Linked DNA regions of Saccharomyces cerevisiae S288C. Changing the gene in region 3 together with the main gene of any one other region gives a genetic interaction. Each region holds a gene or a part of one and is shown on either strand. Other genes may lie near its edges.

The links.
Region 1: mutations in TGL4 (region 3) and GPM3 together harm fitness more than expected from each alone (negative genetic interaction), as found in Saccharomyces cerevisiae (2 studies listed by BioGRID).
Region 2: of TGL4 (region 3) and ATG15, changing one suppresses a phenotype caused by changing the other (phenotypic suppression), as found in Saccharomyces cerevisiae (one study listed by BioGRID).

Annotation. Positions count from the first base shown.
Region 1 is NC_001147.6:221,227-224,679, reverse strand, and holds GPM3 (phosphoglycerate mutase family protein GPM3), read right to left. Parts: upstream 1,413-3,453; coding exon 501-1,412; downstream 1-500. Other genes in the region: THI20 (trifunctional hydroxymethylpyrimidine kinase/phosphomethylpyrimidine kinase/thiaminase), read left to right, coding at 1-260; YOL057W (dipeptidyl-peptidase III), read right to left, coding at 1,778-3,453. UniProt on the Saccharomyces cerevisiae protein: Could be non-functional.
Region 2 is NC_001135.5:235,616-239,338, reverse strand, and holds ATG15 (triglyceride lipase ATG15), read right to left. Parts: upstream 2,126-3,723; coding exon 563-2,125; downstream 1-562. Other genes in the region: peptidylprolyl isomerase family protein CPR4, read right to left, coding at 1-284; GTPase-activating protein SED4, read left to right, coding at 3,017-3,723. UniProt on the Saccharomyces cerevisiae protein: Lipase which is essential for lysis of subvacuolar cytoplasm to vacuole targeted bodies and intravacuolar autophagic bodies. Involved in the lysis of intravacuolar multivesicular body (MVB) vesicles.
Region 3 is NC_001143.9:605,030-610,026, forward strand, and holds TGL4 (triacylglycerol lipase), read right to left. Parts: upstream 3,337-4,997; coding exon 604-3,336; downstream 1-603. Other genes in the region: TVP38 (Tvp38p), read right to left, coding at 1-389; PXL1 (Pxl1p), read left to right, coding at 3,917-4,997. UniProt on the Saccharomyces cerevisiae protein: Lipid particle-localized triacylglycerol (TAG) lipase. The lipid droplet/particle is a lipid storage compartment which serves as a depot of energy and building blocks for membrane lipid biosynthesis.

The DNA.
Region 1 (3,453 bases), on a different chromosome or scaffold from region 3:
CTCCTTGTTTGATGGGTTATGGTGAAGCTTTAACTAAAATGAAGGGTAAAGTCACCGCACCTGAAGGGTCCGTTTACCACGAATGGTGTGAAACTTACGCATCTTCATGGTATCGTGAAGCCATGGATGAAGGTGAAAAACTTTTGAACCACATCTTAGAAACATACCCTCCAGAGCAACTTGACACTTTAGTAACAATCTACGCTGAAGTTTGTGAATTAGAAACAAATTTTTGGACCGCTGCGCTAGAATACGAGTAGATAAGATGGCTTATGCACAATAGATAAAGATATACCTACATATAATGAATTATAAAAACAAAAAAATAATAATAAGAAAAAAGTTTCTTTGTTATACAATCTATAAAAACTTCTTATAGAAATTTAAACACGTTTATTTAGCTGCTTTTCGTTACTCATTATTCTATCAATAAAGAAAGAAGGAAATATAAAAGGAAACCATGAAAAAAATGGCGCTAATTTTTTATTTTTAAAAACTATTCATGGATTCTTTTCGAAACCCTCATCACGAACCATTTGAGCATTAACTTTAGCTGATTCTGGATCCAAGTAAAATTTCCTCACAAAAGAGTAATTGTCTCTATCCAACTCTATAACTAGCGGAATGCCGTTGGGAATATCGACATCTTTGATGTCTTCATCTGAGATACCTTCCAATACTTTCAGCAGAGATCTTACAGAGCTGCCATGCCCAACTATAACACACGATTCTTGACTGATTTTGTTGGCGGTAGACAGAACAACATTATTTAAAAATGGTTTCAATCTGACGACCACTTCACAAAGAGACTCACTTTCTGGCAGACGCTCATTAGCCTTCTCTTCGGGGCCGTATTTTAAGTGTCTATTGGGCTCCTTAAAATCATAGCCTGTGGAGGACCCCTGATCATTTTCCTCTTGGACCATTTCCAGGTTTAGGTTGACTTTAGGGGGTTTTCCGTTGTAATCTCTTCTGATATACATGTATTTTTCCTTACCGTATTCTTTCAAGATATCTGGCTTTCTTTGTCCTTGCCATGCGCCGTAATGACGCTCATTTAACCTCCAGGTTTGCAACACAGGCATACTTCCTTCAAATCTTGTGTCCTGCAGCTCCTCCTTAATGTTTGTATTCGTAGTAATTACATAATTGGTGTGTTTTAGTCCCAACTCTTCGAGAATAACGTCCATGGTCTGCTGAGTTCGAATCAACCTTGAAGTATAGCCAATCTGAGGCAAAGAGATATTGTTAGAATCGCAAAACTGCTTGATCAATTTTGCAGAGTGGCGGGCCTGAGACTTCCCTTTTTCCGTTAATTGAGCATCAATCCATCCGCAGAATATGTTTTCTGAGTTTAATTCACTTTGACCATGCCTTAAAATAAACAGTTTAAAAGTGTCAGTAACAGTCATAACTATTCGTTATTAGTAGATCTTTTTGCACTATTTCTCAATCCTCTCAAAGAGACTTTTATTGTAAATCCTCGATTGCAGGTTGTTTTATCACATATGTATAAAATGGAAGCTTCTATTGTTTTATCGAACTTGTCAATGAAATCTCGCATTGTTATCATCTCATAATACAAATCTGAAAAAAAAAGTTAAAAAACAAAGGAAAGTCACACAAAACTAGCAAAAGTAACAAATCAAAATTCGCTGACAGTTAGTGCTGTCGTATCCTGTCACACTTACATAATATATATCTGTTTACATAATCTAATAGCTTGAACAAAAGCAACAGCAAAGGTTGCTAATTAAAACGTGTGCTCTTAAGGACATCATAATTCTCTATCAAGGAAAGATTGGAGCATACCCTGTGGGGTTTCATCATATTCTTTCAGGGTTACCTTGTTATTGTCGTCAATATAAGAATTCGATTGTATGAATTGTCTCCTTGGCAATCTCTTAGATAAGACGATGTCTCTTAAAGACGCCAAATCCGGTGTCACCGTTGATCTATCAATAAAGTACTTACTTCCCTGTTCCACATCGCCTGAACATTTGTAAACATGCAAATGCTTTAAATAGTCTTTCACACATTCATGTCCCGCTGTTTTAATGAGAGATTTATCCAACTTGATGGCAAAATCATCATTCGTGCTGTTCATCTCCAACTTTAAGAAATTCTTATCTGTAGAGTGCTTCATAAATGTTTTCATGATAGAAAATCTTGCTTGCATGTGTGGTTGTCCCCACTTACCAGTTTTTGGATTCCAGTATTCTAAAGCTAGGAGACCCGCACGGGCCATTTGTAGATATCCAGCGTAGATCACTTTATCTTGAGATTCGACATCATGGAAACCAAAAATATCAAGAATCTTCTTATTAGTAAGCAAAAACATGGCAATTACTTCCGCACGACATTCTTCAAATGGGCCAGCTAACTGTCCAAATTTGGAACCCCAAGTTTCACCAACTTTGTAGTATGTGCTCACCGGTTTCCCATCCAAACCTAAAGGAGGGTTTTCCTTATCAAAATTAAAGCCGTCTGTAAATTCTGTCAACAACTTTCCTGAACCATGTCCTAATAATTCATGGATGCCTACTTGGACTTCAAAAGAATCACTTTGATATTTTTCAAAAATTGGGCGATCTTCTTGCGATATAAAACTTGGCGGATGCTTGGATGAGCTTTTGGCAGCCGCGCTTAAGATATTCCCCAAAGAAACATTCTTGAACCCAATTTTAAGCCGAACATCATCATAGTTTGGAATATTGATGCCCGCTGGTATACCCGATCCAGTAAACGTTAATACTTCTAGAGAGGTGAAATCTGGTGGATTGAAAATCGGTTTTTCGTAATCTTTAGACCATGGTAGTAAGGAAATGAATTCTTCTGCGTTGTTAACCAAGCTGGAAAATTTAGCAGTACGTTCTTTGTTTTGAATTGCAACCAACGATTCAAATTCTCCAATTATGCCCGAGGGTTCTCTATATGTTTCGATAAAACCGATATTTGTTTCAATGACGGGAGATATATCTTTGACCCAAAGTTTTTGTGCTTCTTTATGTGCTTGAGAAGAGCCAGTGACAAAGTGGTTGATGTATTCCTGAAGCATTGCTTTTTGAGTATCATTAGCCGCGAATTTTTGAGCTTCCTTTAAATACGATGCTACTAAACGCATTTCACGTGAATGATCACCAAAAATGAATTCTACTTTGGTTACAGCATTGGATAATGTGATCTGTCCACTGGGGTAGGTTTCTGTTATCTGGTTTTTCACATTCTCAGAGGCAACCCAGATTTGGAAACTGTTTTCACCAACTTTGTTGATTCTTGTGTTTTCAGGCAAGATGGCAAGTTCAGCAAACAACTGCTCTTTCAAAAGAGCCATATCTTCAGGTGTCACAGGTAAACCCAGATAATAGGCTGAAGTATAACCTTGAGAGGGAAACCCTAAGAGAGCCGCCTTCTCTTCCACATGGTAAATACCAATATCAATTAGCTCATTGA
Region 2 (3,723 bases), on a different chromosome or scaffold from region 3:
ATAACTGCCTTAACACCATGGGCCAGCATAGCAAAGTTGTTCACAGTTTTGGGCACGACAGTACCGTACAACTCAAAAGTCAGATCCGCCTCTTTCATCGACTTCGAAACGGGATCAAAGTATTCGATAGTGATTATTCCACGATGTGTGGCGGGGGGACTGGGCTCATATTTTTTCTGAAGATCAACATCCTTGGAGGTAATCTGCTTCCCTGATGAAGGTGCAGCGTGGACTTGGCAGAGTACTAAGGAGTACAGGCAGAGCAGCAAGGATTTCAACCACATGTTGTTGCTGAACTTATTCGAAAGTCTATCTATTTTCTTCGGTCTTCCAATCTACGAGTGTGTGAGTTTGCTAGAGAGCAATTGAAGCAAAGAATATGTGACCTATTAATTGCACCTGACTGACGCCTTTCACTTTAAAGCAGTATTAATATATCTTCTCGTGTCGTTTAGCTGAACCTTTAAGTTGTCAAAATGATACATTATTTATCAGACAATGGAAGAAAAAAAGGGCGCATAGGCCCTAAAACAACACTAGGGTCATAATAGATGTATGGGTCTTACAACTCGTATTTGGTGCAGAAGCCAAGCCAATTGCGGCCTACACAGGTAGATGAAGAGGTAGTAGTAGCAGTGGTGCGAGTCGTCGTGGTTGGTGCAGCGTGGCTTTTAGTCTTGGTAATGAGCCTCGATGAGGATTCCCAGTCTCTGCTTGGAATAAACTTCCAGTTGTAGCAATCTACGCAGGGCTCTGGTTCAACGCACTTGGCAGCCTGCTCGTATCCAAGGAGAACTTCGTCAATGACTTTGTGGATTCTGTGGTTGAACATGTTTACACTCCAGCCCTTGTCGTTGACCACATCGTAGACACAGACTCTACCAGTGTGGCACGCGGTTTCCATAGCGTAGCCCACCAGTGAGCAACTTGAACTAGCTCCGTTGCATGTACCCATGAAGATTGGGTCTGCGTTGTGACCGAAGTGCCAGATACCCTCCATGTATGAGGGAAGTCCCGGTGGGAATGGTAAGTGAAGTCTTTTTGAAGGTAGTAGCTCTCCAGGGGACTCGAATGCGACCGCAGGCAATCCAAAAGTGCGGCCCAGTAAACTGGCCAATGCGCCTCCCAGTGAGTGGCCTGTGACCCATATGGCCGCATCGGGGTATTCTTTGAGGACGCCTTTGTATATGTCAACGACTGCAGAGTAAAATCTATCCTTACGTCTCAGTTCCTTTTCCAGGCAAGACTCATCGCATATATACGACTTCACATAGCAATCGCACACGGTAGTCCACAGGTAGCTCACTCTTGCACAACAACACGAAAATAACAAATTATCGTTGATCTTGTCGTTTCCAGTTGTCTCATCTTCGCCAGACCCTGGCAAACCCTGAGCGCTGGTTCCCTTTATCGAGAGTACCACGATATTCTCCACTTCATTGTAAAAGACGTGACCACGTATACCATCACCATCCCAACCAAAATCTTCCGGCTCTGTTTCATTCCACGGCTCCGTGACGTTACGCCAGTCTCCCGTTTGCGGTATTCTCACGTAAGCATTAGACGACATTAATGCTAACGACACTACTGTACCTCTATCTGTGATATTGGGTGCCACAATGTCATCATCTATCCACATGGCGTGTTCTTCCTCCTCCGTCATGTATGTTTCTCCGTAAATGTACGACTCTATGAATTCAGGATCTCTTTCCTTCATCCGCTTCATCAATAGCGGCATCCTTCGTAGCTCAAACTCAAAATCGAATGGGTTAGTGGTGGCATATTCGGCATTAGTAGTCCATAGGGGTTCTTGGTCTTCGAAATCCTGTCCTTGAGTTGTGGTTTCTTGATACAGCATTCCAGCGGCAGAAATAACTTCTGGAGTGACCTCCAGCCTCTGGTGTAGCCGATGGTTTGCTCCGACGCCATGCCTGTAGATAGACTTAAGTCTAAAGGTTCCATCAGATTTTTGATCCATGGCACCCCTGGATGAGCTCTTCCCTACCGATAAATAATCCGGTAAAGCAAAGTAGTAAGCAATAAGGCAGAGCACTGTAAGCGTTAGAATGCATCCTAGATGCAAAGGAGAAGCAAATCTCTTTCTTGAAGGGCTTTTATGCAACATTCAATAGAATATTTCCCTTGTTTCCTTTAATTGTAATGCCTAGATCAGTTCTCAATCACGATAACAATTTTCTGAGCAGCGGCGTACTTTCTTTGACTTATCCAAAAGGTTGACACTGATTTGAGTGTCTCAAAAGCCTTTAAATGATAGAAACAAGGCTTTTAGGCTAGTCTTATGTAATAGAGAAAGTTCATCTATATCTACAGATTCTTATTATGTACTGTTGAACAAAGGTGCGGGTAACTGCGATCACACAATCACTTTTTTCCGGAAACGGCTGTCTTCAGCGAACAACAATATAGTAGAGATACTGTATTCAACTGGAAATGCTTTCCCTTTTGCCCTATCATTATTTTCTTTCCGATGTTATGCTTATTATATCTGTGATTGATAAGAGAAAAAAAAAAAAGTGACAGCTATAGAGAAAAAAAAAAACCCTTAGAGAATCCTACCTGGAATATATTTAATGAGCAAGTCTATCTGCTGCACATTGGTCACGACACATGTTAGTGTATATGGCCCAGCCTATGTATTTACGATTTAAATCACCTTGATAATTATTAAACGATATCCAGTTTATTTCGTATTATGTTACATCTGTCAAGCCCTTACTTAGCAATTTTGAGCCCTAGTATTTTTGACCACATTTGTAACTGCCCTATTTTATTATCCTTTTAGCCCTCCTGTCCTTTTTTCTTGGTTGTAGTAATTTTCATTTATATCTCGAGAATTGTACAGTGTAAATGAGAACTGTGAACGCTTCAAGTAACCTACGCTTATAGCTGCTTCGATCGACGGAGGCTGTTTGTCAACAAGCATCACAATTCCCTACGATACGTCCTCTCTTCCTTTTTTTTCTCTCCTTTTAAACTTAGAAAAACTAGCATAATAATGAGTGGCAACTCTGCAAACTATGACGTCGGATATCCGATATATGGTGCTAAATTTATAAATGAAGGCACTCTACTGGTGGCTGGTGGTGGAGGCCAGTTCAATTCCTCGTTTCCAAACAAAATTACAGCTTTAAAGGTGAACTTCCAGAAAAAGAAACACATTAGAAGGTTTCGTGAGATCACATTAGATTCGATTGACGATGCGCCCACTTCATTGGATTGTAATAATAACCTGATTCTAGTTGGTTGCAATGAACTGTTTAATGATTCCTCCATGGAGAACGTTAACCACCACTTGAGGAAGTTTGTGTTTGAACAAGAACATCTAAAATTCGTGGCCAGTATTGATTTCAACAGAACTACAGACCCATCCGTTTTCACTAAGTTTGTTTACATTAATCAAAGGGCCACAGTAGCTGCAATTGCGTCCTCTGAAGTGCCCACTGTGATAAGAATCATTGACCCGCGTAATTTGACGGAAAATTACGAAATTGAAACGGGTAGGGAAGTTAATGATTTGCACTTCGCCCCTAACGGTATTCTTTTGTCATATATCACTTCTAATTCTTTGGAAGTAGCGTCTGTTAGGGACGGAAATTTTGTAGCAAGGAAAACGGATTTTGATAAAAATCTTGTTCTTTCTAATATCAGGTTTCTCAATGACAATACGCTATTAGTGGCAGCATCATTATCGAACTCTGATGG
Region 3 (4,997 bases):
AAATCGTTCGAAGTAACAACAACTTTATGTAAAATCGCATTATGGAAGACGAGCAACAATATACCCATTATCATTAGCATTATGCCGAGGAGGACAATGATAATCTGTTGCCATAAGCGTAGTGAATAAAAATAAAACTGTAATTTTTGAACATTCTTCCTGATATTATGCATCAATCTCTCTCTAGGGGACATATTATAAATGTCTAAAAAATCATCATCATTAACATTTACTTCGTCATTGAATGACAATCCAGCATTAGTACCAACCCTTTGTCCATTATTACTATTTGGCATGATATCGTTGTCAAAGTCTTCGAAATAGCCATCAAATTCATCATCCTCCCCTTGGCCCATATTGGCATTTCCTGCTTCGTAAGACTGACTCATTTGTGTAACCAATATCTTTCTTCCACCATAATAATATTTTCAAATATGTTGAAGGTATTGTTTTAGTAAAGTGGCTTTTTTTCTTAGTGCAGCTCGAGAGAAAACAATGATTTCGATTTCCGCTTTGAAAATGATATGAATGAGAAAGGCCATTCGAATAAATACATAGATGAAAAAGAATATCTAGAGGATATATAAGCAAGCCCGTGTTTTCTTATTGAGTAAAACTGGTGGTGCTTTTGTGCTGCGTTGAAGAAGAAGGCCTCGATCGAAACGGTGAGCTCTTTGTAGCTTGAGAAGGGGGTCTTCCATCAATGCTATGACGCCTGAAATTGCCCGCTAAATCACTATGAATCATTGCGTCTGAATCGAAGTTACTTATCAGTCTCAATGTAGGATGGTCTTCTTTATCCGAATCTGTGTATAATATGTTGCTACTGCTGACCCATTTTTTGTTCATATGCCTCAAGTATCTACTCTTTCGGCCAAAATGCAATTTCTTGTCTACCATGGCAGGTGTTTCAATGCTGGCAGAATGTGGGATAAGTTCATGGCTTTCCGGGTCATAGGTCTTGGCATCCATAGGAAACATTAGCCGGCCCATACTTGTTTTTTTCTGCAGAATTGGCGGTGGGTGTCCATTGATTTTGCTGGATTGCCTCAACATCCTTGATGTGGGAGAAGCAACTGAAAATGAAAAGGATTTGGCTGGTCGCCTTGAAGTTGAAATAGTATCTGATTTCCTTCTTTGGTGACGCGGATTGAGAGAAGCGGACGTAATGGAATACCGCGGTCTAAACCCGGAAGGTGACCGCCCATATGTGCTTGCATTCTCACGTAACAATAGCAAAGAGTTTGTCGATTCTGATTCTAATAAGTTGTCATCTAAAACATTGGAAATATGATTGTCACCCTTGGTTGGAGTCCTAGTTAGCAATGTTGAATTTTCTGGGTTTTTGGACTCATCTGACGTTTGCTCTGGAGCTTTAATTAATCCAATGACTGAATCAGCAAATTGGAAGGGGGTTTTTAAAGAGGAGGTGACAATCATCCTACCTTTGATATAAGAAATCGCCTTATCCAGAGCAAATTCCTGGCCACAGTGATTTTGAATAATGGAAACCTTGGGCCACGTAGCTTTTGCACCATTGGTGATTTCCCTTAATAAAAATTCTTTTGTTGGGTTTGACAACAGCTCCTTTATTCTAAAAAGCATACACATGTCGGGCAAAATAGTGATGTCACCAGAATATTGTTGAGATAATACCGATCTCAGTTTTGTAAGCGCGTTTTTGGCAATTCCCATCTCACTTCCAATTTCTAGAATATGAATAGCTTCATTGGCCATAAAATTGTATATACTTGATAAGTTTTGCTTTAATCTTGCACTAAATTCGTCCTCAATTTCCCCGCCAACACAGGATAGTGATAGTTTCAAAAAGGGAAATACGTGAATATTCACCTGGCATGCGATAATATGGTCTACATTAAACATTTCAGAAAGACGAGAAATGGGCAAGTCATTGTCCACAGAACCATCGACAAATTTGACCGAACTACTACCAGTCCATGGTTTCCTTTCTCCCGTTTTTGGATCTTTTTCGTAAAGTGGGCTCGAGGGGAAAATTCCCGGTAGTGAACATGATGCACATACGGCGGACCAAATCAGGACGTTTGGTGCAGTCAAATTATTCAGCAAGCGCGGTTGTTCAAATAAAGATGCCGGCGAAACGGTTATATTCAAAATTTTACCCGTTCTATTGTAAGCTTCCCTAAATGTCAAATCTCCCAAAAATTCTATCATTGTATTTACCAGATGCTTGTTATCAAACCACGTACCGTTTTTGAAGAACCTAGATATTTTTATTAACAAATTCTCGCTTTCACTTTTCTGTTTATCGTCTTTGAAAATGTTGAATTCTTTATCCAAAATATGATTTAGTAAAACCGGAATTTCTTCTTTGTGATGGACAGATAATATGCTTGCTACAATTGCACCAGCACTGCTACCACTAATCACTCTGGGTAATAAATCCAATTCAAATAGAGTACCAAGGACACCGATGTGGAAAAGACCAAAAGTTCCACCCCCACTGAGAACTAAAGCGGTACGACCAATATTTCTTCTCGTTTGTTGCAGTATACCCAAAAGGTAACTATCATCAAGATCAGACTCCATTAAAGATTCTAGCGCTAACCTAGACTCCATCATATACTCGTCAATTAAATATTTGGTGCCTACATGGGAGTGCCTATATAGGTTTACATTCCCCATATTTCCCAGGTTTCGTACCCAATTCGTCCTAATGATGTACAACAATTGAGCGTAATTCCTATTCAAGCGCTCCTCACGCATTCTAGATGTTAAATCTTTTATTAGCTTGTAATCATACAAGGGACTTTCCAATTTCTGCTTCCATTCTGTTTTCCCAGTGAGGTCATCCAATCTGGCGCCCGCAGAACACCATTCTTCAAATGACATCGCATGTTGCTTTTGTGAACAGACTTTGTCAATAAGAATGTCTCTTTCATAGTTTCCCACAAAAACGTTGTAAAGAAATGATTTGCATTTACTGGCTAAAGATGACCCTTGCCTTTCATCTTCGCCTTCGTCTGTCTCAACCATCTCGATATCATTATTTTCATTTTCTGTTACTGTCTCTTGGTCATCGTCAAGTTTATCCTCGTTTCCAGTATCCAGGTTGAAATTTACTTTGTTCGTAGTTTTGTTCTTGCCAGTTTGCAGTCTTTTACCAGCATCCTCCTCCACCCTTTCAACATCTGAATTATCCTTACTGGGCCTAATAAACTTGTTCTTCGGATTTAAAATAGGAATTATGTTCTGGGAAGTGCCCAGGATCTGTTCGTAATATTTTTCGATTAGTTGTTGCGTAACAAGGAGGGGCTTATTTTGTGTAGATGTAAGATCTGATATTTTGCTGCTCATTCAGACTTTTATTACATATACCTGTACTCCCTTCAATAATTATTACAGCGCTAATTTTTTTGATCAAATACTTGAATACAGGCCTCTTTTACGAGTACAATAATGACATAATGACAATTTGAATCAACCATACTTTATAATTGTGGTTTAGCGTTTCATAGTCGCAATTATCGTATAAGAGGGGTAATATGTCAGCCCTAGTTTACCCTACTTTTTTTAAACCCCTTAAGATCTTTTTTCCTTTTTTCTAATATTTAACCTACTAATATTGGTAAGTAAACCTAATGACTTTTTGAAGCGCCTAGCCCTATTTCTTTCGAAATTTTCAATTCGCGTCCTTTTTCAATTCCATGAATAATAGGAAACATGAAAAAATAAGTAAATAATAATAATAGAAAAGCTGGAGTGTTGCAAATTTAAGAGGTAGCCTTAAAATATATTTCTGCTGTGTTGAATATTTAATTTATACAGCTAGAATAGGATATTATAGCCGAATTTTTTTCAAGCTTCTTCAAAGCTTATAGTGAATAACGTAAGGGGAAAAACAAGAATAAATTTAGCAAAAGAAACGCTCAAGTCAATGTATAACTCAATCTACGGGTCCCCCTTCCCTAAAATAAATCCGAAGGTCCGCTACAAAACTGCTCTAGAAAGAGCAGGGTTTGACACTAAGCCGCGTAATCCGTTCAGTAGTCAGAGGAATGCTTCCACTGGAAGTTTACAAGCTTCCGTGAAGTCGCCGCCAATAACCCGTCAAAGAAATGTATCTGCCGCCCCATCTGTTCCGGTCACGATGAAGAGTGCGTATACGGCGTCTTCAAAGAGTGCTTATTCATCTGTAAAGGGCGAGTCTGACATTTATCCGCCTCCCGTATTGGAGAATAGCGAGAGGCGGAGTGTAACTCCTCCAAAGAATAGCAATTTTACGTCTTCGAGACCCAGTGACATATCTCGTTCTATTTCCAGGCCCAGCGAGCGTGCTTCGCAAGAGGATCCCTTCCGTTTTGAACGCGACTTAGACCGTCAGGCGGAACAATATGCTGCCTCTAGGCATACATGTAAATCACCTGCTAACAAGGAATTCCAAGCCGCAGATAACTTCCCCTTCAACTTCGAACAAGAAGATGCTGGTAATACTGAAAGGGAACAAGATTTGAGCCCTATTGAAAGAAGTTTCATGATGCTGACTCAAAATGACACTGCAAGCGTTGTAAATTCTATGAACCAAACCGATAACAGAGGTGTGCTCGACCAAAAACTCGGAAAAGAACAGCAAAAAGAGGAAAGTTCAATCGAATATGAAAGTGAAGGACAGCAGGAGGATGAGAATGATATTGAAAGCCTAAATTTTGAACCAGATCCTAAACTACAGATGAATCTTGAAAATGAACCACTTCAAGATGATTTTCCAGAAGCAAAACAAGAGGAAAAGAATACAGAACCTAAAATTCCGGAAATTAATGTTACGAGGGAAAGTAATACACCATCTTTAACCATGAACGCACTAGACTCTAAAATATATCCTGATGATAACTTTTCTGGCCTGGAATCTTCAAAGGAACAGAAATCACCTGGTGTGTCATCATCGTCAACAAAAGTTGAAGATTTAAGTCTTGATGGGTTAAATGAGAAACGTCTTTCAATAACTTCTTCAGAAAACG